5 linked regions of the Ovis aries genome follow. The protein of the gene in region 1 interacts with the protein of each later gene in a pairwise test. Links are inferred from orthologs where the notes say so. Each region holds a gene or a part of one and is shown in the gene's direction. Other genes may lie near its edges.

Region 1 (4,931 bases):
CCTGGCCCTGACCGAAGCCCAGCCCCCTAAGAAGGACCTGGTGTTGGAACAGGTAGGCTCTTGGAAGTTAGTTGGTCAGGACCACTGCTCACTTGACCAGCTCTTCCTCCCTGCCACTCTCTGCTTCTCTTCCCCAGATCCCAGAAATCTGGGAGCGGCTAGAGCGAGAGAACAAAGGCAAGTGGCAGGCTATCGCCAAGCATCAGCTGCGGCATGTATTTAGCCCCTCGGAACAGGACCTGAGGCTGCAGGCGCGAAGGTGAGGCCTGCTAAGCCAGCAGAAGAGGAGAAGGGAGGCAGCGGCGTGGATGTGGGTGGGGTTGCCCCTGTCCCCCCACCCACAGGTCCAGCAAGTCCTTCCGGACCCTTTTTCCAGGTGGGCTGAGACCTACAGGCTGGATGTGCTCGAGGCAGTGGCTCCAGAGCGGCCCCGCTGTGCCTACTGCAGTGCAGAGGCCTCCAAGCGTTGCTCCCGGTGCCAGAATGAGTGGTATTGCTGCAGGTGAGGGCATCCTAGGACCTTGGACCCCCATTCCCATACCCCTCGGATCACTGCATCTTCACCGGCCCATTTGCCTGCAGGGAGTGCCAAGTCAAGCACTGGGAGAAGCATGGAAAGGCTTGTGTCCTGGCAGCCCAGGGGGACAGAGCCAAGTGAAGGCTGCAGCGGCTGAGGGCCAACCACCCGTGCCTACAACCCACTCAAGTGTCCCCCCAAAACCTCTGGATCTCAATCTGGCCTCTGCAAGTGCCCCAGCCTCCCGGGTGGTGAGGATAGCAGGCGGGAAGAGCTGTTGACCCATCTCCCCCCATCTAAGCGCTCCCCACTTCCTGCTCTATCAGGCGCGAAGGCTTAGGGTGCAGCCTCCCCAAGCTGGGGCAGGAGGCCTGGGCGGGGGGCGGGGGGGAGGGGACAAGGGCCGGATGTGGGGACCCTCTTCCTCTAGTACTGTAAAGTAAAGCTAGCTTCCACAAACACGCCTGTTTCCTCGTGGCCCCTTGAGGTCGTCGTGGTTGTTAAGAGGAGGGGAGTGGCTCGCGGGATGAAGGGAGGATAGGAAACGGAGGGCGGGGACTCTGAGAGAGCAGCCCCCAGCCGCACCCGCCGTCCCACTCCGCCTGCGGGCCGACACAGCGCGGGCGCCCAGGTTTCCATTGCGCGGCTCTCCTCTGCTCTCCCGCCGCTCTGCCTGAATCCTGGAGGCGGCGCCGAATCGGGGCCCGCCCCGCGGCCCCGCCCGCCCCGCGCTCGCTAGCGCCCAGAACCGGCCGGAGACCCGGCCCGACCGGGCCATGTCCGCTGAGCCTGAGCTCATTGAATTGCGGGAACTGGCACCCGAACGGTGCGCCGCCCCGGGGCGCACTCGGCTCGAGCGTGCCAATGCATTGCGCATCTCGCCGGGCACAGCTCGCAACGCCGCAAGGCAGCAGGTCCCGGGCCGGGGCCACCGCTTCCAGCCGGCGGGGCCCGCCACGCACACGTGGTGTGACCTGTGTGGCGACTTCATCTGGGGCGTCGTGCGCAAGGGTCTGCAGTGCGCGCGTGAGTAGCGGACCCAAGAGCTGGCGGGAGCGAAACGGGCAGCCAAGGGACAGCCCCGTCGCTGAGGGCCAAGTTGCGATGGAGGGGGTCAGGGGGGACAGTTCCCACAGACCAGGTCTGTAACCTTTGCCCCATAGCACAAGAGAGTGCGGGCTGATAGTTTATAACCTTGCCAAGCTCCACCTGCCTCTGAGACAGTTAGGCAAACGTGCTTCTCTGTAAACAAGGTACTACTTTCAAGTTTAACCAGTGCCTTGGCCCTTCTTGAGAAAGGCTTGTTCCTGTCAGTCTCTGGACTCACATTCTTACACTTACCCCTTTGGAAAGATTCACTTGCCAAGTCCCCCAGGAGAATCCCTGTGGTGAAGGGAACTTACCCACCTATGGGAGAAGGCCTGGAAATAGAAACTTGGGCACAGGGCTACAAGCAGGAGTTTTGAGTCTGTCTTTAGCAAATACCTATTGGAAGTTCAGTCAGCCAGCTGCTAAAACATGAAACGCAACCACACGCCAGTTGGTGCTTCTGCCCTCCCAGAAATCACCAGCAAGCTGAGGTTGCTGTCTCACTGGCCATACACCATCTAGAAACACTTGGGATGCTTTTATAGCCCTCCAAACCTCTACCCTTGGATCTTACTGCAGACCTGTTGAATCAGTCAGGTCACTGAGAGTGTACCAGCGATTTTTAAAAACAGGTCATTCTAATGTGTAGCCTGGGTGGAGAATCACTGCTCTGGCCCATTTAGGAACTTAGGGAAGATGTCCCAAGCCTGTGTGTGATGGAGACCCTCTCATCTAGTACAGGAGTTTGTCTTTATTCAGCTAGGACGAGTATGGGACTTGTGGCAGCATACAAAAAGCATGAACAAGGGCTGGGAAGATAGCAGTGTTCCCAAGGAGAAATAAAGTGGCCATGGGAATGAAAAACAGGACAATTTGGGTGTGTGTCAGAAGCAGAAACAAGAGAGGCATCAAGGATGAGTTGGGGTGGTTTGGTCTGGTTTTTGTTTTTTGCTGAGTTGAACTCTGGCAAGGGCAAGGGTGAGGAGAAGTGAAGAATTAAAAGGAGTAGGAAAGTGAGTTAAATGTTGGCCATGTCTGGTTGAATTGTTTATTGGACAGCCAAATGAAGATACTGACACAGAATTTGATCTCAAGGAGGTCAGATGGAAGCCTTGGATCTAAGGTAGGTCAGTGTACACAGAGAAGAAAAGCGATCAGGACTGGGCCTCGGACTCTCCACCATTAGATCTGGAAGCTGAAACAGAACTAAAGCCCCCTGAACAGGGATTACAGTGAGGTGGGAGGAAAACCGCGGTAGTGAGGGCCCCCGGGGAATCCGGAGAGCAAGCATCAGACGATGCTGAAGAGGTGAAGGGACCACCGCATTCCGCGGTTCGGTCTCTGAGTTCCCTGGAGGGAGGAGAGCAAGACTGGAATGGGTAGAGGATGAAGGCGAGGAATTAAGTAAGAGACCAGTGTTGGTAAGTTTTGTGTGTAAGGGGAATAGAGAAAAATGACACGAAGAGGCACTGAGTTAAAAGTTTTTTTGTTTCCCCCTCCAGTAAATGGGAGGAGGGAGGGACGCTGATAATGAGGAAGGGGAAGTTCTGCCCTAGGCGCTAGAAATCCAACTGTTGAGCAGGCCTGGATCCCTAACAGCATGAAGTCTTCCCTGCCAGTTTCCAGGCCCGGGGCGGGGGGGGGGGGGGGGGGGGGGGGGGGGGGGGGGGGACAGAACGGGGAGGCGCGGCGGCAGGGGAGACTCTAAAATCTGAGTGGCAGTGGGTGTTAACGGGGACTAAGATAAGGCCAGTCATGGAGAACACGACGAGCAACGGCCTTCATCCCGGGGCTTCGCTTCTGTCCCCGGGACGCTCCTCCGAGCTGGTTGCTGGGGTTCCTCCACCTTATGGCCAGGCCTCTCTGCAGATTGCAAGTTCACCTGCCACTACCGCTGCCGCGCGCTCGTCTCCCTAGACTGCTGCGGGCCCCGGGACCTGGGCTGGGAACCGGCGCTGGAGCGGGACACGAATGTGGTGAGCGCGGGACCGGGGAGCTTACGGGCAACGCAGGGATGCGTGGACGAGCGGGGCCACATTGGAGGCGTTCCCTAGGGCCGCCCGGCGCTACGCGCAATAAACGTTTTGATAGCCGACTTCCCGGAGGCAGAGAGTGGCTAATTCTGCGCGCGGGCTCCAAGGGGTGCCGGGGGGTGCTGACTCGGCCCTAACCGCCCGGAGCCGCCCAGACTGCGCGCAAGTGCAACTTCCGCACCTTCCCGCAGCTGCATCCGGCCTCGAGGCCACGCTGGTGCACACGCGCACAAGCCCCATAGTGTCCCTTGGGAGGCGGGGCCTGCGAGACTGCGCTGAACTGAGCTGCCCCAGGGCTGAGATCATTCTTGGAGGCGAGGCGTGTGTGACCCCGCCCTTCGACATCCCTCCTCCAATGAGATGACAGCTATGTCTTGGCTGTCTACGTTTCAGTGTTAACGGTTGCGGCTCGGACACTGGTTCCTGCGCACGCACACTCATATACGGGCGCGCACGCGCACACGCGTTTGGGGCGGTGGTGGGAGTCTACCGGTGCACCGGGGCTGGTGGGCTGGCTGGCGCGGCGATGGGTGAGGCGGACGCGGGAACGCCTTCCTTCGAGATGACTTGGAACAGCACGACAAGCAGTGGCTACTGCAGCCAGGAGGACTCGGACTCAGAGCTCGAGCAGTACTTCACTGCGCGTACCTCGCTGGCGCGCAGGCCGCGTCGGGACCAGGTGGGGACCGGAGGTTGAGGGAGGCGGGCGGGGGCGATCTCTGGCATCTCGCCCCTCCACGGTACGTTGCAGTCTCGAGAGTTTGTGGGCCGCTCCGCCCTCCTGTCAGCGTGGATCTCGAATCGGACCGGGGCCAGCCCTCGGAACCGTGTGTCGGGCTTTCAGCACATCGGTACTGGGTGCCGAGCCCTTGCTGTTTCTGTCACAGACCGGTTGAACCAGGGGAAGCAGCTGAGTGGCTTGGGGTAGACCAGGGACAGGCATTATCCACCCCTTACTAAGGCTGACTGTGCAGTCTAGACTAGCACCTCGATTTCCGCGTGTGGGCGCTCCCACCCCTTCTCTGGGGGACCTGGAGGAAGTGGATGGGGAGGAGTCCTCGCCGGGAATTGAGAAGTGTGTTTAGGAGAGAGGCAAAGGAAGGTCCAGGCCCCTCCATTTCCACTCCTGGATGGAGCTAGCTTGGTCCCCACCTCTTGCCGGTCCCGGCCTGTCACCAGCTGCTGGAATGTGGAAGATTCTCAGTCTCCCCTCCTCTTCGGTGGACCAGGAGTACTCGCTTGGGCAGCGTATATACAAAAAAAATCAGAGCAGACCAGGGGATCTGGGAATG
Region 2 (5,091 bases), on another chromosome or scaffold:
GTTCCAAAATATTTCATCACCTTGCTATCCTTTAAGCAGTTTCTCTCCATCCTGCTTCTCCCTCTTGTCCCTGGCAGTCACCAGTCTGCTTTCTTTTCCTGTGGATTTGCCTATTCTTAATATTTCACATAAGTGGGATCATACAGTATGTGCTTTCTGTTGTGTCTGGCATCTTTCACGTAGCATAATGTTTTTGAGGTCCATCCACATTGCAACACATGTCTGTACTTTATTCCTTTTCATGACCAAATAATATTCCATTGTTTGTGTATACCGTAATTTATCTGTTCCTCTGTGATAGACATTTGGGTTGTCTTAGCCATTGTGAATAGTGCTACTGTGAATACTCGTGTACATGTTTGTTTGAGTACCCGTATTTTACTTTTGTCAAATGGTGATAATCTGCTGTGTAGGGTTGTTATAAAGATAAATGAGCTAAGGCATATGGAACTGTTAGCACAATGCCTAGTACAGATAGCACTGACTCTGGTGCTATCAGTACGGAAAGTCTTTACGTTTGCACCTCGCTCCTCCTTTTTCCTTCCCCTGATGGCCTGTTTTTACGTTTCCGTTCTCCTGGTCTTTCTCTGACATTCTCATTTCTGAGTTCTCATTATTAGAGTTGGAAATCTAGGACGCGGGTGTGGGAGGAGGAGTGTTATTGGTGTCCATGCTTCGTGCAGGAGGCTCTTGGCAGCTCACCCCTCCGCATTTCCTCTGCTTTCTGCGACACTGTTGGTTTCCACTTTCAGCAGGAAAGTGAGGAGGCACCGCAGGGAAGGGTGTCTCTGGATTTACTTTTTCAGGACAGACAGCTGTCATATTGCCACCTCAGAGTTAGATGGCGTAGGGAAGAGTGATTTCTTAGGGTCATGGTGCTTCTCGGGATATGTTACGTGCTTTAGGAATGACATGGATAATTTTAAAGAAAGGAGAAATTGAATGATGACGCTTTCCTTCAGGAGAAGAGGTTCTCGGTACTTTTCCTTTTAGCCTTGCTCCTAAAAGTTTATGATCTTTAGAAAGAAGTGCTTGTTAACAATGCTCTCTTGTAAGAGTTTAGTTGTCTCAGCATTTCAGTTGAGTTTTTAAAATATTTCTTTGCAGTTAACAGAAGATGAAATTGCAACCATTCTCAAATCTACTTTGAAAGGACTAGAATACTTACACTTTATGAGAAAAATACACAGAGATATAAAAGCTGGAAATATTCTCCTCAATACAGAAGGACATGCAAAATTGGCGGATTTTGGAGTTGCTGGTCAGTTAACGGTAAGTGTAACACTTTTGGAAGCACTGTTGGTTTGTATTGTCCAGGTTCGAGTGTGACTAAACCTTGGTAATATCTTTTGAGGGTTATGAAAAGAAATGCATAACTTCATTGCTTCAAGGAGAAGAAGCCATTATTTAGGTATTATTTAATTATTTTTTTATTTACCGTTTAAGAGACATTGGATGAATATGAAAGAATATATATTGCCATCAAAATGCTTAAATATTTGGAAAGGAAAGCTGCATTTGTTCATTTCTGTAGGTTTTATTGTTATAGTGCTATCTTTAATGAAGGTAGTGGAGTTAAGTTACTTATGGACTCTTGGTTATTTCAGAATTCTAAATTCCTAAATATGTCATGTCACTACTGGTTGAAATTTTAGGAAAATAGTCAATTTCAGATATAACCTGTAGTATTTGAGGGTTCCAAATATTTAGTTTAAGGAATATGTTGGCAAATGCATTTCCTTGGTGTTTTTGTAGTTGCAGTTATATCTATGTAATATTCTTGCAGGATACAATGGCAAAACGCAATACTGTGATAGGAACTCCATTTTGGATGGCTCCTGAGGTCATTCAAGAAATAGGCTATAACTGTGTGGCTGACATCTGGTCCCTTGGCATTACTTCTATAGAAATGGCTGAAGGAAAACCTCCTTATGCTGATATACATCCGATGAGGGTAAGAAAATGATGGAAAATGTCAATGTTAAAAGTGCTGCAGTTTTGTAGTGTGAGTGTAAATAAACATGGAGTAAAAAGATCATTTGAATTTGGAGTCTGTGCAAAAATTAGCAAAATTATCTGTCAGGGATTTGTGACTGTTCACTTCTTTCCACCATCATATCCTTAACTGGGAGGAAAAGAAGTGAAGCCTGTATTTCTCTCTACAGTGGCTGTTTTTCTCCCCCCAAAGTATACCTGCTAAATTTCCCCATGATTTAAATAGAAGAAAGGGCTGGTAAATCCACTACATTATTCAGTTCCTCATATTCTGAATGTAACAGTGGAGGCTTGGAAGAAATCCATTCTCTTCTACTTACCCTGCATATTGTACCTTTTTGTGTTTTTGTTTCTCTAGCTGAGCTAATATTAAAAGGGAATCCCGATTTCTAATATTGCTATGTATCTGTAAGTGAAATAAGCTTTTATTTTTAGTGTTCAGCAAGAAAATGAAATTCCTTTTATGGATATTATTTTATGCTTGTATGAACTCCTTTTCCATGATAAATTTTTGAGTCTGAAATGTATAGATTGCATATTCAAGTCTAATTGCCACTGCTTTAGAGGTGATGAACAGTTTTTAAATTTATTAGTGTGTGAGTCTCAATTCATTATAGATAAGTACATTTATCTTTGTAAACGTATTGCCCTCTAGTGGCTGTATTCAACTCGAGAAGAAAGGATATAGGAATGAAGGCAGAAAGAAGGTGGAGGAGGGAGAGGGAGAGAGAGAGTCTGTGTGTGTGTGTGTGTGTGTGTGTGTGTGTGTAAAGAAAAGAAGATGATTTCAGAATAGATGGAGAAATGTGTGAAGTAAATAGATGGGAGGAAAAATAATGCCATATTTTAGAGTGTTTGAAAAAGAAGAATAAATTAAAATTCTGATACTATAGTGCTATTATGAATTGAACTTCAATAGTGTAGATAATAATGTACTATACTGAAATATTTAAAAATCTGCCTGCCACTTTAAAGAGAACTCTTTGAGGAACATAATTGTATATGATATGTATCGTCTTCCTTGTACATGTAAACTCCTCTTGCTAAAGCGAAACAGAAAAATAGCATGAATTCTTTGAAAATATTGACATGAAATATAACTAGGTCAGCATAAAACAATCAATAAAATTCTCATTTCTTTTCTGATTATTAGATATCTTTGGTACTTTCAGCTAGAAAGTTTTTGGGGTGATCTTCAGCTAGATATATTTGAGTTTAGTGAGGTTAACCAAAATATCCAAGACAGCCTAGCTAAGTGCCAGAGCTGGGATTTAACCCAGAACTTAAGAGTATTACTGTTCTGCTTCCTCCAGTATAAATCTTATTTTTTCCAACCAAACAGTTCCACATATTCAGTTTGACCATGAGGTAGTCTCTTTAGCAGATAGCCAAGGATTTAAAAAATAAAGCGCAGAGTAGCTTCTCTCATTGCAAATTACGTGGCACTATGTCACAACCAAGTATACTCCTAATCCAACATGATTTCTTTTTAAAAAAATTTTAAAAATGTTTATATCCAGGTCTTAAGAATTGAAAACTGAGTCAGTCATTTTTTAATTAAAAAAATAAAACGGGAATCCATGACCTCCTTCCTTCCTGCCCAATTAATAATAGAACCAAGTTGAGAAATTCTGGACGACTGGGCTTGGTTAGAGGTGCCAGTTAAGTTGTCCCCACCCCCGGCACACCTGCACATCTTCCATCCCCCAGTTCCTGCTGCGTGTGCCTGGGTCGGCACCTGGCCCATCTCAGTGTGTGTGCACAGGACTTTGCCCTCTGACATCGTATGGCCAGAAATTACAACTCAGCGACAAAGCTCAGGATTCCCTTTTTCTCTCGCTTTTTACATAGTTAAATTTTAGCTCGAATGACATGTTCTGTGCTTAACAAATCTACTTTCTTAGTTTTCATTTTATCTTTTTTACCCCCATGGTAATTTCTTAGGGCTGTCTTAACATATTACCACAAATTTGGTGGCTTAAAACTATAGAACTTTATTCTCTTACAATTCTGGAGGCCAGCAATTTGAAATGAAGGTGTTGACAGAGCTGCACTCCTTCAGAAGCTCTAAAGGAGACTCCGTTTTCTGCCACTTCCAGCTTTGGGGTGGTGGCTGCCAGCAGTCCTTGGCATTCCTTGGGTTGCAGCTATATGTCCCTGCCTGCACCTTTTACATTACTCTCTCCTTTGTGAGTGTCTGCGTTTCGCTCTTCTGTCTGTCTCAGATTTTCCTCTGCCTTTTTCTTTAAAGGACAGATGTCATAGGATTTAGAGCCCACTCCAGTAATCCAGAACAATCTCCAACTGCAGGGATTTTTTTTTTTTTTTTCCCAAATGAGATCCGGTTTAGAAGTTTTGAGTATTAGGATATAGACATATCTTTTGGGGGCCACTCTTCAACCCACTATATCCTCTCTAATCTGTTCCCTTTTTTCAAATTATATGTATTTAAGATTAGTAACAATTAATTTCAGGATCTATTTTCCTTGTCTTTTCTCAAATTTTAAAAACTGTGGTAAAGTATTCATAAAAATGGTATCATTTAAACCATTTTTCCAGTATACCGTTCAGTGGCATTACAGTACATTGACATCACACTGTCTACTACAGAAATATGTATCATCTCAAACTAAAACTCTATACACATTAAAAAATAACTCTTTATTATCTCCTCCCCCAACACCTTATAACCATAATTCTCTCTGTTTCTATGAATTTGACTATTCTAAGCATCTCATATAAGTGAAATCATACAATATTTGTCCTTTTGTGTCTGGCTTCTTTCACTTAATGTTTTCAAGGTTCATCCATTGTTGTAGCATATATCCAAATTCTTTTTTTAAGGCTGGATAATATTCCATTTTATAAATACCACATTTGTTTAACCATTCATCCATATTGGACACTTGAGTTGCTTCCACCTTTTGATTGTTGTGACTAGTGCTTCTATGAACATGGATGTACATTTATTCTCTGTGAGAGTCTGCTCTCAATTCTTTGGGTATATACCCAGAACTAGATTGCTGGGTCATATGGTAATTTTATGTGTAAATTTTTGAGGAACCTCCCTACTGTTTTTCATAGCATTGTGCTATT
Region 3 (5,091 bases), on another chromosome or scaffold:
TTTTTTTTTTTCTTTCCAACCAGGCCATCTTCATGATTCCTACCAACCCACCCCCCACATTCCGAAAGCCAGAACTGTGGTCAGATAGCTTCATGGATTTTGTGAAGCAGTGTCTTGTCAAGAGCCCGGAGCAGAGAGCCACAGCCACTCAACTCCTCCAGGTATGACTCACCCTGGGATGCTGCCTCTCTCTCTGTTTCATTCACAGGTTATCCATCCAAGATGCTGTTGACCCACCCACATGGAGATGGTGAAGAGCTGTAAGATATTCCTTGCCTCCTGTGAGGTTTGAATGTAACTGCTTAGAAGAGACATAGAAAAGAATGTTAAATCACTGAACAGGACAATCATGCAAGAAAATACAGGGCTGTATGGGATCAGAGAACAGGAATTGGCCTTTATTGAGCACCTGCTGTGTGCTGGATCCTTTACATGTTGTGCCATTTAATCCGCACATACACCCTGTGAGAGAGAAGTGTTATTTTACTTCTACAGATAAGAAAACAGAGATTTGGAGAGGTTGGCTCATTTAGAGCCACTTGGTTGGTAAACAGCAAAGCCAGGCTTAGGAGCTAAGTCTTTTTGACTCCAAAGCAGGAGTGCCATACCCAGTTCTGGGAAAGAACTGGGATCAGTGGTAGGTCCACCATTTTGAACTGGTGATGCCAGGACTGCTTTCGTGGAGGAGGTAACTTCAACCTTGGGCCTTGAAGGATGGGTGGAATTTGGCAGGCAGTATGCTTAGTCAGCTCAGACAGTAAAGAATCTGCCTGCAGTGCGGGAGACCTGGGTTTAATTCCTGGGTCAAGAAGATCCCCTGAAAAAGGGAATGGCAACCCACTCCATTTTTCTTGCCTGGAAAATTCCATGGACAGAGGAGCCTGGTGGGCTACAGTCCATGGGGTCGCAAGAAGTCAGACACAACTGAGTGACTAACGCTTTCACACTTTCTTGCTTAATATTTAGGAGCTTGGATTCTGGAGCCTGACTGCCCAGGTTTGAATCCTGGCTTCCTGTTTGCTAGCTCTGTGACCTTGGACAAGTAACATAACCTCTCTGTTTAGTTTTCTTATCTATACAGTAGAGATCAAGTACCTGCCCCATAAGTTGGTTGTGAAGATTAAGTGATACAATATGTGTGACTTTGAATAACATTTTCACATATTAAAGATAATATATTATGAATTTGACATATATCTATTATTGAGCTAGGCCAGTGTTTTTCAGTCATGTCAGATCCATTGCTGCCTTATCAACACAAATTTTTTAATACTTACTATCTTTTTGGAATGAACCTCATAGATACTAAAATCCACTTACGCCCATTAATTTAAAAAGAATCAGTGTAATATCTGTGATATGATGGAGGAATATAAGGATAATTATTTATAATAAAGTAATATATGTGTCAATATAGAAATGCTCCAGCTTTTCAACTTAGAGATGTGATGAAGTAATCGGACACCTGTACCTAACATCATGAATGAGTTTAAATTTAAGAGCAGTAAGAAGAACAGAAACCTTTCCATTCAAGAAACACCAGAACATGAGTGGGTGGATACTAACAGAAGTCTAATGTTAAGTAATAACAGAGCAGCCTGATTTGTATAAGAGATAAGAGGAGGGAAATCAACTTACGGACTTGCCCAGTGGAGAGAACCAGGAGCTAGTTACTCTTGCAGATGAGCTGGGTTCTTTTTCTGAGTAGTGGCAAATTATTTTCCTGCCTGGATGAGGTACTGATACAGTTTTATAGAAAAGATACCTCCCATATTTTAATCCCATCACACGTTGAGGCATCCTGTCCACTTCTAGAGTTCTTGCAAAGACCTTGGAGCCCATATCTTCTGATGGGTGGTGGGGAACAGAGAATGGATTGCAGATAAACACTGGGGACAGTACTAGAACAAGTTTGGAAAACAACAGCAACCCCCACTCTTCCAGAAAGGAGTTTTCCTGTGTAACTTTCACAGCATAATTTTTTTTTTTATTGTATTACACAGGCAAACAACAAAATTGTAAGATGGTATTAATGTTAAAAACGTTAAGCCTAGGATGGATGATCAACAAGGTCCTACTGTATAGCACAGGGAACTGTATTCAGTATTCTGTGATAAACCATAGTGGAAAAGAATATAAGAAAAGAATGTATGTGTATAACTTAGTCACTTTGCTGTACATCAGAGATTGGTACAACATTGTGAATTAACTATATACTTAAGTAAAAAAACTTAAAAAAAAGGACTTCCCTTGCAGTTCAGTGGTTAGGATTCTGCTCTTTCACTGCCAAGGGCCTGGGTTCAGTCCCTGATTGGAGAACTAAGATCCCACAAGCCACATGGTACAGAAAAAAAAAAAAAATCCCCAAAGTTTTAACCTTTTTTCTATTGAGGAAAGTCAACAATATCCCTGTGTTTCAAGTGCCTTTGCAGATGCATAATACTTGGGCTGACATCTGCTACGTATGTGTGACCAGTTTTAGTATTTCTGCAGTAACTACCTTTTGGCACTAAAATCTTTTTGCATATGCATGCACGCTCAGTCATTCGTGTCTGACTCTTTGCGACCTCATGGACTATAGTCTGATAGGCTCCTCTGTCCATGGAATTTTCCAGGCAAGAAAACTGGAGTGAGATGCCATTTCCTCCTCCAAGGGATCTTCCCAACCCAGGGATTGAACCCAAATCTCCTGAATTTTCTGCACTGGGAGGCAGATTCTTTACCACTGAGCCACTTGGGAAGCCACCAAATCCTTTTTACCCAGATACACAGTTGGAAATGCTATAGGACATTGAATAGAAAGAATAAGCAGGATGAGTAACCTATTCAGTGATTTCTAAACAGTGTCTTTATCCCACCTATGTCCCCCTCTCTGAAATCACCTCCCAAATTCACCAGACTGTGCTTATCTGTTGAAAAACTGTGTCAGTGTACACGATCACTGTGTGTCTGTACTCTGAGATGTGCAGGGGGCGTGAGGGATCTGCACGGTGTATTTTTGTGCGGGACGACTGCATTTTGAATGAGATTGCTTGTGTCTCTGCTTCCTATCCTGTGTCCCGTGTAGCTTGTGTTCTCTAAACATCTTAACCGTAAGCTCCCTACACATTTACAGAGCTTCCTCTAGGGGGTCGATGCCAGCCTGTTGACACTCTCTAGAGTTGCTAGAAATGGAGGAAACATTCCAGCCAAGCCAAAAAACACCTGGGCAAAACTGAATGTGCCTGCTCAGAGTTATAAAGTGAGTGTGAGTTCAGTTCTGTCGCTCAGTCATGTCTGACTCTTTGCAACCGCGTGGACTGCAGCACGCCAGGCTTCCCTGTTCATCACCAACTCCCGGAGCCTACTCAAACTCACGTCCATTGAGTTGGTGATGCCATCCAACCATCTCATCCTCTGTTGTCCCCTTCTCCTCCTGCCTCCAATCTTTCCCAGCATCAGGGTCTTTTCAAATGAGTCAGTTCTTCGCATCAGGTGAGAGTGTGAGTTAGGGTTGGCTGTTGCCCAACGCATAAAGAGAATGATTAGATGCACTGGTTGATGCAGCAAAGACTATGGAGGGCCTCCTCCGTGCTGGCTAGTGTTTCGGCATCAGTGCCACATAAACCATCTTCAACTTTCTTGTTGAAGCACCCGTTTGTCAAGAATGCCAAAGGAGTGTCCATACTGCGGGACTTGATTAATGAAGCCATGGACGTGAAGCTGAAGCGCCAGGAGGCCCAGCAGCGGGAGGTGGACCAGGATGAGGAAGAAAACTCTGTGAGTGCAGGCGTTGCGGTGGGCCTTGGGCATTAATGCTTGTCATTTTGTGATTGTCAGCCAGGTAAGACGAGTCAGTTGTGGGGTCCGCCTGGAGCTGGAGACGCTCCATGCCCCACCGGGTCCTGTCGTGGACCAGGGCTTGCTGGATGGATGTTTGTTCTTCTCCCAGTGCTTCCTGAGACACTTCCATATTTTATTCTTTTGCCTCCATATCTTTTCTTCTATTTAACTTTTTATTCAGGAAAGAGAACATTCAGGTCTGAGACTGGGTTTTTCTGTGCTCTTTTGGGACATCTAGTATCCATACTAGCTATGTAGACTTTACACTGATAAACTCTCTCACAACCCTCAGATTCCAAAGGTGTGTACCTTAGCTCCTTAGAGCAGTGTTAAAAAAAAATATGCAGGTTAGATATGCGGCTCTCATGTGGATAAATGTATGCTTTCCTTTGGTTGACTAGGAGTGTTCTCATGGAGTACAGCTTTTAGAAATTGTGAATCAGTATACTGTCCACCTGTAACATATATAATGGTGACTCAGTGGTAAAGAATCCACCTGCCAACGCAGGAGACGCGGGTTTAATCCCTTGGTCAGGAAGATCCTCTGGAGAAGGCAACCCCACTCCAGTATTCTTGCCCAGGAAATCCCACGGACAGAGGAGCCTGGCGGGCTCCAGTCCATGGGATTGCAAAAGAGTCAGACGCAACTTAGTGACTAAACAACAATGACATATTTAATACTGTACACCAACTACGCTTCCCTAGTGTCTCAGAGGGTAAAGCGTCTGCCTGCAATGCGGGAGACCTGAGTTCGATCCCTGGGTTGGGAAGATCCCCTGGAGAAGGAAATGGCAGCCCACTCCAGTATTCTTGCCTGGAGAATCCCATGGACGGAGGAGCGTGGTGGGCTACAGTCCACAGGGTCGCAAAGAGTCAGACACGACTGAGCACGGACATGACACCAACTACACTTGAATTAAAAGAGTGTTCTTAGTTCTATGAGTAAGGCTCAAATCCAGAAATATTTGCAGCAAGATGAATATGAGTAATGCAGGGAACTCGATCTTTTTAATCAAATTAGCCCTCATTTGAGATTTCCTCCTTTTCCAGGAGGAGGATGAGCTTGACTCTGGCACGATGGTCCGAGCAGCAGGGGATGAGATGGGCACCGTCCGAGTAGCCAGCAGCATGAGTGACGGGGCCAATACAATGATCGAGCACGATGACACGTTGCCGTCCCAGCTGGGCACCATGGTGATCAACACGGAGGACGAGGAAGAGGAAGGCACGATGAAAAGTAAGGCTCTGATTAAACAGACTAACTTCACA
Region 4 (5,091 bases), on another chromosome or scaffold:
ACAGTTGACTGGTCTGTGGTTCCCCGTACCCTGCTCTGACTGACTACCAGCCAAGAATACCTTTTCTCCTCCGTCTGCCCACATCCTGCTGTCTTTGAAGAGCCAGCTGTGTGTCCTCATCTGGCCTGAGGACAGTCCCTGGTTCCTCTCCCTTCTCTGGCCCTCTTCCCCGAAACTCATCCTAGCAGTGTTGGGGGGTGGGGGCTGCTTGTCTTTCCAGGACTGTTCTGGAAGAGGTGGGGGGAGCTGTCCTGCCAGGCCTGTCCCGGGGACCCATGCTCTCTCACCCACTGTAGCCCTTCCCCTGGCTCCCTCCCTAGTGTGGGGGAAGGCTGATTCTCTGACTTCCACAGACCAGACAGGAATGTCTCCATCCAGTCACAGAAGTTTTCTCAGGAGGAGCAGAACAAAGTCTTCCAGGCCTACCATCAAGATCTGGGTGGGGTCAGTTTGTGTGAGGAAGAGGAAACAGAGATCAAAGATCTGGGTGGGGTCAGTATGTGAGAGGCAGAAGAACCAGAGATCAAATTGCCAACATCCGTTGGATCATCGAAAAAGCAAGAGTTCCAGAAAAACATTTACTTCTTTATTGACTATGCCAAAGCCTTTGACTGTGTGGATCACAACAAACTGTGGAAAATTCTTCAAGAGTTGGAATACCAGACCACTTGACCTGCCTTCTGAGAAATCTGTTTGCAGGTCAAGAAGCAACAGTTAGAACTGGACATGGAACAACAGACTGGTTCCAAACTGGGAAAGGAGTACATCAAGGCTGTATATTGTCACCCTGCTTACTTAACTTACATGCAGAGTAGTACATCATGCGAAATGCCAGACTAGATGAAGCACAAGCTGGACTCAAGATTGCCAGCAGAAATATCAATAACCTCAGATATGCAGATGACACCACCCTTATGGCAGAAAGCAAAGAACTAAAGAGCCTCTTGATGAAAGTGAAAGAGGAGAGTGAAAAAGATGGCTTAAAACTCAACATTCAGAAAATGAAGATCATGGCATCTGGTCCCATCACTTCATGGCAAATAGATGGGGAAACAATGGAAACACTGACAGACTCAATTTTTGAGGGGCTCCAAAATCACTGCAGATGGTGACTGCAGGTATGAAATTAAAAGATGCTTGCTGCTTGGAAGAAAAGCTGTGACCAACCTAGACAGCATATTAAAAAGCAGAGACATTACTTTGCCAACAAAGGTCTCTCTAGTCAAAGCTATGGTTTTTCCAGTAGTCATATATGGATGTGAGAGTTGGACTTAGAAAGAAAGCTGAGCATCGAAGAATTGATGCTTTTGAACTGTGGTGTTGGAGAAGGCTCTTTGAGAGTCCTTTGGACTGCAAGGGGATCCAACCAGTCCATCCTAAAGGAAATCAGTCCTGAATATTCATTGGAAGAACTGATCCTGAAGCTGAAACTCCAATACTTTGGCCACCTGATTCGAAGAACTGACTCACTGGAAAAGACCCTGATGCTGGGAAAGATTGAAGGCAGGAGGAGAAGGAAATGACAGAGGATGAGATGGTTGGATGGCATCACCGACTCGATGGGCATGAGTTTGAGCAAGTTTCGGGAGTTGGTGAAGGACAGGGAAGCCTGGCATGCTGCAGTCCGTGGGCTCACAAAGAGACACGACTGACTGACTGCACTGAATGTGTGTGAGGTTCATCAGCCCCAAGATAAGTCCCCAGCAGTTCTTGCTCCACTGACTCGGAGGCGGGTGTGGTACAGAAAGGCTGTCCCTGGAAGCTTCAGGTGACCCATGCCCAGGCCCCCAGCTAATGTCTCTGTGCTCCCCTCTCCAGGAGATGGCGGGCAGGGCCCTCAAGCAGACCGGCAGCCGCAGCATCGAGGCCGCCCTGGAGTTCATCAGTAAGATGGGCTACCTGGAGCCAGGCAAGGAGCAGATCGTTCGGGTCGTCAAGCAGACCTCCCCAGGTGAGTGCACTGGAGGCTATGGAGAGGCGGCTGTGGGGAGAGGGCCTCATGGCCATCGCGCAGACCACCTCCCTCACAGGAGTCCGGATACGGGGACTGAACCTGCCCTGCCCAACATCCTATATACCCCAGAATGGGGGCAGATCGACACTTAGCTGGGTCCTTACTTCCTGGGGATTTGTGGAGTTCTGTTCATGAAAGGGAAAATTCAAAATGAAAATTAGGCCACTCAGCAGATTCTTTCTTCTGGAGTTGTGCGGGAGTCTTAAGGGGAGGCTTATTTCATTGATTCTAAAACACACTTGTTTCCCACTTTGTGAGCTCGGAGACCAGGCTGCACGGTGGCAGGTGGCTCCAGAGTACAGTGCCTCAGGCAGAGGTGTGGGAAAGCCACTCCCACCATACTCCCGGGGAGGGAGGGCCAGTCGCCTCAGCACCCCTGCCTGCTAGTCAGTGGGTGTTTCTCTTCCTGGGTAGAGCAGATGGAGCCATTTTGGGGACCTGAGGCCCCTGGGGGGCAATAAGGGATTCAGGATATTGACCAGAAGGAGTTTTCCCTGGAGACCTTGGATAAACCCAGTTCATCTGCTGAGTGAGGAACTTGCAAGGGCTTTGTATTAAATGCATTGTACCTTCCTTGAGATGAGAACACAGGTTTCCCTTTTCTTTTTTTTTTTTTTGACGGCATAACATTTCAAAAATGTATTTATCTACTACATATCTTCAAAATATATAAACTAGAAATTGACAGAATTAAAAGAACAATAGAAAAACATATTTTCACTGTGGGTGAATTTAACCACCTGTCTCAGGCACTGACTGAGAAACGCAGAGTGAAAACGGTGAGAACACGGACATTTGCCCGTCACATTTCGCTTCTCTTGATTGAGGAACGCCCTTAAGCATCGCCTTGCTGCCGCCACGTCTCGGGGTCTGGGTGACAGCTCATCCCCCGCCCCGGCCCTGGGGGCAGCCCCGGCGCTGGTGCTTCATGTTCCCCTGGGGGGCTCTGCCGGGGCTCCTGCGGCCCTAGGAGGAGGGTACCCGACCGGCGACGCGGGGCCTTCTGCTCGCGGCCCTCTAACGCCGCCTCCGTCTCTGCCCGCAGGGAAGGGCCTGGCGCCGGCCCCCGGGCCACGAAGGCCGAGCTTCGAAGCACCGGGCGAGCCTTTCCCGCCCTTCACGCAGGTGGCCGGGCCGGCTTTCGAGGGCCCCGCCGCCCTGGAGGAAGCGCCCCGCCCGTACCCGGACTTCCTCTTCGCCGGCGTCGGGCCTCCTTGTCGTCCGCACCCGCCCAAGGGCTACACGGCCGCCGGGGAGGCAGCTCGCATGAGCCTCGCGGGTCCCGGGGGCGCGCACTACAGAGCCCCGCTGCTGGTGCCCACGGAGCCCCTGGGCTATGGCGTCAAGCGCAGCTCCTCCTTCCAAAGCAAGGCGACCCCGGAGGCCGGCGCGTACGCGGGGCTGGCCGCCAAGGGCGCGGCCGCGCCGGTGCCAACCCCCGGCCTCCAGTTCCCAGCCCCCGGCGCCGCCTACGCTCCGGCCCCGCACCCCAAGCCGCCACACCAGGGACACCCGGGGGCCCCCCGGGGCGCCGCGTTCGCCGGCGACAGCGCCCCGCCCGGCCTGGCCGCCCCCGCGCGCACCGGCCTGGGCGCCGAGCGTTTCGAGCCGGGCGCGCCACCTTGGCCGAGCGCCAGCCTGGCCCGGCGGGACTCGCTCCCCAAGCCGGGCCCCAGCCGCACCGGTTCGTTCAGCGGCGCCGCGGCCCCGCCTAACGCCGTGACGGCCGTCACGGCCGCGCGCATCCTGCATCCAGTGCGGAGCGTGCGCGTGCTTCGGCCTGAACCCCAGACGGCCGTGGGGCCCTCGCACCCCGCTTGGGCACCGGCGCACCCGCCCGACGGCCCGGAACCCGCGGAGGAGCTCTCAGGGGGCGCCGAGGCGCGGGGCCGGCCCCCGCCTTATCCGCGGCACTTGCTGCGGCCGCAGGCCCGCGCCGAGCCGCTCGACGTGGACGGGCTGTGCGCTGGGCTGCAGCAGGGCCTCCGGGGCGGCCGCGCCTCTGAGCCCCCCGACGGCAGCCCCGCGAGCCCCGGGGCCACCAAAGCCGACAGGGTGGGCAGGGACCGGAAGCAGATCCAGACATCTCCGGTGCCCGTGCGTAGGGGCAGCCGCGACGAGGACAGGCGCGAGTCACGCATCAAGAGCTACTCGCCTTCGGCCTTCAAGTTCTTCATGGAGCAGCACGTGGAGAACGTGCTCAAGACCCACCAGCAGAAGGTGGCGCGCCGGCTGCAGCTGGAGCAGGAGATGGCGAAGGTGGGCGCAGGGCACGCCTGGTGTCGGGGTCCCAGTGGGAGAAGCCCCCCCGCATCGTGTCCCCTGTCCCGGCTCGGGGTGGGGAGGACTGTGCGGATGTTCCCCCGGTGAACGAACGCGTCGCTTGTTACGGCGTGTCCTTTCCGGGGAGCAAATCCATCAAGGCTCTCCAACTGGTAAAGAAACACTTTGAAAGAGGAGAAAGAAAACTTGAGTTTTTTTTACACATTGACATTGTGGGAATTTTAAAGAGAAGTATGGCTATTAGTGATTCAGTTCATTCTTAATGAAGTCTATAGTTGTTAAATAATGTTTGAAGTAGATGCTAGTTGACACTAAGCTGTTAGGGAACGTTAATTATTAGTGAAATTATAGAAATGCTATGGTGATTTCAGATTCTAAAAAGTTTTAAAAATAAGATCGGATTCCAGTGAAAATGCTGTTCCATTTTCATTGACTTTTCTGTTTTCCCGTTTTCCTCTGAACTGTCATTAAATTATTACATTGCTCTTAGAGTTCCAGGAATTTTACGGTCCCCTTTTGCACAAATTTTTAGTGATACAAGTTGTCTTTAGTTTTTAGAGCCTAAAAGTCAACCTGGAGAAAGAACTCCTTATTTTTACATCTCCCCTTTTGATTCTAAATCTGTGACTGTGGATGTAGAGAACCAACAGTCGTTTTCTCACTTGTACCATTGGCCCGGTTCTTCTGCACCCTCCTTTCCACAGATCATGGTGTGCCCTCCACTCTGGGGCTTCCCGTCCCCATGGGACCCATCCAGAGTGACCCTGTCCTGTCCCTCCTTGCCCCCATGGGGC
Region 5 (5,091 bases), on another chromosome or scaffold:
CTTATTTTTTAAAAAGGGAAATTTTTTATATAAAAAGTAAAATGAGGCATATATATGAAAAGTAAAATTTTCATTCTTATAAAATGGAAGAAATCTACAAAGTAGAAATAAAATGTTACTAATATTTACATTGCACTCATACTTTAGAAGCACCTTTACCATCCATAAGTTAAGTAGGTACAATGTAATTAACATACAAAATAATCACTAAAAATGCAAATGACTCATCATTGAACAATGTATTATTTTGAAAGCTGACTTCAGTGGCTTAGTGTTTTTAGTGTTTCATTGTTTGCTGGCAACTTCTGGTGTATAACTCAGGGCTATGGTAGGAAAAATTGTAGCAGGAAAAAAAAAAGAGGACCAGGGTTGCACTGTTTTATTTTGGAATCAGAAAAATGTAACTTTTATTTATAATTAAGGGGAATAGGTAATGTTACACAATGCCAAACCATCCTCATTGTAATTGAGCGTTTATGTGCTAACAACAGTTGCAAATTGTAGTCACCTGACAGGAGGGAGAAACCCATGTTATGTTTCAGTGAGCCAGTTTGACTAACACTTCAATATATGTCTAGGCTTTTTCTTCCCTGGAATCATGGTATATATTTTCATAGAAGTACAGTTTTTGTGCATATGTTCATGCCATAATTTAATTCACTTTTTTTTTGACTAAACATTTTTACCAATTTCACAGAGAAGCAGAGCTCTTTTCATTAACAAGCATTATTGTGTATTGAGTAGAATATAATAAAACATGGAGATAAGCTCCTTGAGTAGCCAGGTTGCCTTAATGCTCCTTACCCCATCGTGCCTCAGTACATTTTCTGGACCTGCCAGGTCATAATAAACTAGAACTAGTATGACACCCTTATTTTATAATAGAACCTCTATTTAAAATTTCAGGGGAAATCAAATGTATCCCAGTTAATTTTTTATCAATATCTATGAATTAAAATGCTAACTAAAAACCATAGAATGCAGTTTAATTACTTTATATTTCAGAAGACATTTGACCCTGGCACTCATGGGTATATGTTCGATATTCCAGAGAACAAAGAAAATTGAGACTTGAACAATTTATTACGTACAGTGTGTACACTAGACTTCTGCCTGCCAGTGCAGATGGAAGAGACCCAGGTTCGATCCCTGGGTTGGGAAGATCCCCTGGAGGAGGAAATGGCAACCGACTCCAGTATTCTTGCCTGGCGACTCCCATGGACAGAGGAGCCTGGCAGGGTGCAGCCCATGCGGTCGCAGAGTCGGACACAGTGGAAGCGACTTAGCACACATGCACGCGCGCTAGACTAGCTTTTTAAAGAGAAACTTAATACAGCACTGGGAGAAGACACAGCCTGACTCCTGGCGTGGGAGAGCAGGATTTTGGGTACCATGGTGACCAACAGCAGTCTGAAAGATAAATCAAAATATTTGATCTTTGGTGCTTTGAGGGCCTGTCACCTAATCCAGCCACAGGCAAGTGTCTCTGGAGTTGTGCTGTTCAATAGAAATATGATACAAACTACAGGTGTATACAGTCGGCCCTCTGTATGCCCAGGTTCTGCACCATAGGATGCAACCAACCTCAGAGAGAGAAAATATCTGAAAAACAAAGTTGCAAAGCAAAACTTGAATTTGCCATGCGCTGACAACTATTTATATAGCATTCACATTATATTAGATCTAGAGATGATTTAAAGTATACAAGTAGGTTGTATGCAAATACTGTGCCATTTTACATTTGGGACTTGAGCATAGTGGATTTTAGTATCTGAGAGGGGTCCTGAAACCAATCCTCTGGTGAATACCAAAGGACAACTATAATCTTAAAAAAATTTTTCTCATAACTGTGTTAAACAAAATGGAAAGAACAAGGTGAGACTTCTTTTAATAACACGTTTAATTTAACCCCAAATATTATTTCCACGTGTAATCAGTGCTTTTAAAGTAAACAGTGTACATTATTTTTGTGCTGCGTCTTCGAAGGGCAGTGTGTGTTACACATAGAGCACATCTCAGTTTGGACCAGCCACATTCAGTAGCGACATGCAGCCAGGAATGACGGAGACAGTTCACTCTGGGAAATCTAGGGAGCTGTGTGTGTCCTGGACATTAATGAAAAGGAACTACCCTCATATCCAATGTAAAATATTAAATTATAGACCTTGTTCAGTCACCAAGTCGTGTCCAACTCTTTGTGATCCCATGGACTGCAGCACTGCAGGCCTCCCTGTCCCTCACTGTCTCCTGGAATTCGCCCAAGTTCATGTCCATTGAATTGGTTATTACAGACCTTAGAGGGTGGTGCCTCCGGCTGTGCTGGCCAAGCAAGCCACTGACCTATGTCATAAATTCGTTTTGGTACAACTTATTTCCATATAAAGATAAATACTGTTTTGTTTAACTTGATCACTGGTAACATATTCATGAATTTCATTACTTTTATCTTTCTCCAGGTGTGACTCTTGCCTGTGGTCAAACATTATGCTATATCTAAGTTTTCTGTACATATTTTATGTAATATAAAGAAAAACAGCTTTATTTTATGATTTGTATTTCATCTGCTAGTAACCTGTAACTATTATGAATTTTATTAAGAAAAATAATAATGAATACCCTTCAAGATATTAAATTATTTTTGGTAAATGGATATGTCATAATCTGATTTGCATTTTCTTTTATATTTTAAGGATATGGAATATTATCTTGTAAAATGGAAAGGATGGCCAGATTCTACAAATACTTGGGAACCTTTGCAAAATCTGAAGTGCCCATTACTACTTCAGCAGTTCTCTAATGACAAGCATAATTATCTATCTCAGGTAAAGAAGGGCAAAGCAGTAACTCTAAAAGAAAATCACAGAGCCTTGAAACCTGCTGTTGCTGAATACATTGTGAAGAAGGCTAAACAAAGGATAGCCCTGCAGAGATGGCAGGATGAACTCAACAGAAGGAAGACTCACAAAGGAATGATTTTTGTTGAAAATACTGTGGACTTAGAGGGGCCACCTTCAGACTTCTACTACATTAATGAATACAAACCAGCTCCTGGAATCAGCTTAGTAAATGAAGCTACCTTTGGTTGTTCATGCACAGATTGCTTCTTTGAAAAATGTTGTCCTGCTGAAGCTGGAGTTCTTTTGGCTTATAATAAAAATCAACAAATTAAAATCCCACCTGGTACCCCCATTTACGAGTGCAACTCAAGGTGTCAATGTGGACCCGACTGTCCCAACAGGATCGTACAGAAAGGCACACAGTATTCACTGTGCATCTTTCGAACTAGCAATGGCTGTGGCTGGGGTGTAAAAACCCTTGTGAAGATTAAAAGAATGAGTTTTGTCATGGAATATGTTGGAGAGGTACGTTCACCTTCTCTCATAGCAGATAATGTACAAGGAAGGTTTATGCTTTTGAAAAGTTGCCTTTTTAACCTCCGTGACAAACATTTGGTATGTTTTGATAATTGTTGCAAATATGTACAAATTTCAGGTTTGAAAGAAGGGTTCACTGGTATCATTAAAAATATAAACTTGAATATGAATCAAAAAATTAATGACAAATGTAGTAGTCATCTTTCAACAAACACCCAGTCATAGTCACTGAAACTGGCATTTGTAAATTTGAAAATATGACAACTATTTTTACACAAGAGTCCTAAGACAATTTTGAAAATCAGATATAAATACATCCTGACTTGGAAACTTTGCGGGGGGGTGGTTACTTTTTAACTGGAGGAAAATTGCTGTACCATGTTGTGTTGGTTTCTGCTGTACAACAACGAAAATCAGTCATATATATATGTATCCCTACCCCTCCCTCTTAGGGCTCCCTCCCCCCATCCCACCCCTCTAGGTCATCACAGAGTACCAGGCTGGGCTCCGGAAACTTAAATTGTAATTCACTTCCTCCATTTGACCAAATATGATTATGCGTAGTCGGCAAAACTCGGTTTTGTACCAGTAGGAGAGACTGTAGAGTAAGTGGACGATTTATGACCAAGTACTATAAAATACACATAAAAACAGGTATTGCATCCGCCAGCAAGGAATGTCCAAATCCTTTGTAACTCGGTTACAAAGACTGTTCTCTAAATTACCAAATACTAAGTAAATTGTCTTTATACATGCAGTGTAGATCTACAGAAGATAGTATTTACTGCATACTATTCTAAGCACCTTGTGTTTTAACTTATGAATTCTGTCAGCAACTCTATGACATGGTAGCATTCTCTCCGTTATTATACAGGAGGAAACTGAGGCACAGAGAAAAATAAAGCAACTCACCCAGGGACACTTAATAGTAACAAAGAACCAACATTCAAAACCAAGGCTCTAGAATCTTGACCCCTGCACCATTCTTCCCCAGACTGAATGGTGGGAGAGGCTGTGGCTAGAAAAATACAAGTGTGACTGCATATCTGGGGTTGTCAACTCAGATATTTTAGAAGTTGTTTGGAACTGGATCACCTTTAAGTATCTGCATTCACCCAGAATTCTCAGGTTAAATTGCATCCCTATTTTGATCCTTAAATTTTTAGACAATGGCAGATTATTATAAATCACTGTTCAGGAGACTGGATCTCATATAATCAAATCATTCTCTTTTTGAGTTTAATAAATGTAGCTGAATTTGGTTGCCACCATGAATCACTTGAGACATTTTTGGTTTCTTAATCTGAGCATGTGGTGAAGCTGTGTTCTTCAGAGCGGAGCTCTATAGATGATGGTCGTGAGTTGCAGAATTGCATGAAAACCACCTGTTCTACAAAACTAAACTTGCCATACAGTTAACTGTGGATTTAACATACGTTCTCTCCTGTATTTGCAACTTATTTCCATTTGTAACTACACACAGATTAATTATAGGAAAATTAGCTATAGAGCACAGATACTTGTAAACTTAGTTCTTTACATTCTGGTGTGTTCTACAGAGAGCTATCGTTTAGCTCCTGTATTAATATATTGAACATATCAATAAATCAGAACCAAAGTATTATACTATTTCAGCTTGATAATTGTTGGGTTATCCTAATTCTCATTTAAATAGTCATACTTAGCACCCTCATTTTCTCCTCTCGTTTCCCCACCT

Evidence for each region. The genes of interacting proteins can lie anywhere in the genome.
Region 2: the proteins of RASSF1 (region 1) and STK3 interact in binary tests that used the Homo sapiens proteins (3 or more experiments, as listed by UniProt). The link is inferred for Ovis aries from reciprocal best matches to the Homo sapiens genes RASSF1 and STK3.
Region 3: the proteins of RASSF1 (region 1) and STK4 interact in binary tests that used the Homo sapiens proteins (3 or more experiments, as listed by UniProt). The link is inferred for Ovis aries from reciprocal best matches to the Homo sapiens genes RASSF1 and STK4.
Region 4: the proteins of RASSF1 (region 1) and LATS2 come close enough for resonance energy transfer, tested with the Homo sapiens proteins (2 studies listed by BioGRID). The link is inferred for Ovis aries from reciprocal best matches to the Homo sapiens genes RASSF1 and LATS2.
Region 5: the proteins of RASSF1 (region 1) and SUV39H2 interact in a two-hybrid assay, tested with the Homo sapiens proteins (2 studies listed by BioGRID and IntAct). The link is inferred for Ovis aries from reciprocal best matches to the Homo sapiens genes RASSF1 and SUV39H2.

Annotation. Positions count from the first base shown.
Region 1 is NC_056072.1:50,057,921-50,062,851, forward strand, and holds the start of RASSF1 (ras association domain-containing protein 1), read left to right. Parts: upstream 1-1,261; 5' UTR 1,262-1,293; coding exon 1,294-1,543; intron 1,544-3,475; coding exon 3,476-3,582; intron 3,583-4,108; exon of another isoform or gene 4,109-4,165; coding exon of another isoform or gene 4,166-4,318; intron 4,319-4,931. Other genes in the region: ZMYND10 (zinc finger MYND domain-containing protein 10), read left to right, coding at 1-52, 138-259, 377-502, 583-658. UniProt on the Homo sapiens protein: Potential tumor suppressor. Required for death receptor-dependent apoptosis. Mediates activation of STK3/MST2 and STK4/MST1 during Fas-induced apoptosis by preventing their dephosphorylation.
Region 2 is NC_056062.1:78,477,780-78,482,870, forward strand, and holds part of STK3 (serine/threonine-protein kinase 3), read left to right. Parts: intron 1-1,107; coding exon 1,108-1,272; intron 1,273-1,786; coding exon 1,787-1,954; intron 1,955-5,091. UniProt on the Homo sapiens protein: Stress-activated, pro-apoptotic kinase which, following caspase-cleavage, enters the nucleus and induces chromatin condensation followed by internucleosomal DNA fragmentation.
Region 3 is NC_056066.1:73,339,900-73,344,990, forward strand, and holds part of STK4 (serine/threonine-protein kinase 4), read left to right. Parts: intron 1-23; coding exon 24-161; intron 162-3,630; coding exon 3,631-3,759; intron 3,760-4,872; coding exon 4,873-5,059; intron 5,060-5,091. UniProt on the Homo sapiens protein: Stress-activated, pro-apoptotic kinase which, following caspase-cleavage, enters the nucleus and induces chromatin condensation followed by internucleosomal DNA fragmentation.
Region 4 is NC_056063.1:35,915,928-35,921,018, forward strand, and holds part of LATS2 (serine/threonine-protein kinase LATS2), read left to right. Parts: intron 1-1,818; coding exon 1,819-1,951; intron 1,952-3,059; coding exon 3,060-4,273; intron 4,274-5,091. UniProt on the Homo sapiens protein: Negative regulator of YAP1 in the Hippo signaling pathway that plays a pivotal role in organ size control and tumor suppression by restricting proliferation and promoting apoptosis.
Region 5 is NC_056066.1:28,885,344-28,890,434, forward strand, and holds part of SUV39H2 (histone-lysine N-methyltransferase SUV39H2), read left to right. Parts: intron 1-377; exon of another isoform or gene 378-2,690; coding exon 2,691-3,362; exon of another isoform or gene 3,363-5,091. UniProt on the Homo sapiens protein: Histone methyltransferase that specifically trimethylates 'Lys-9' of histone H3 using monomethylated H3 'Lys-9' as substrate.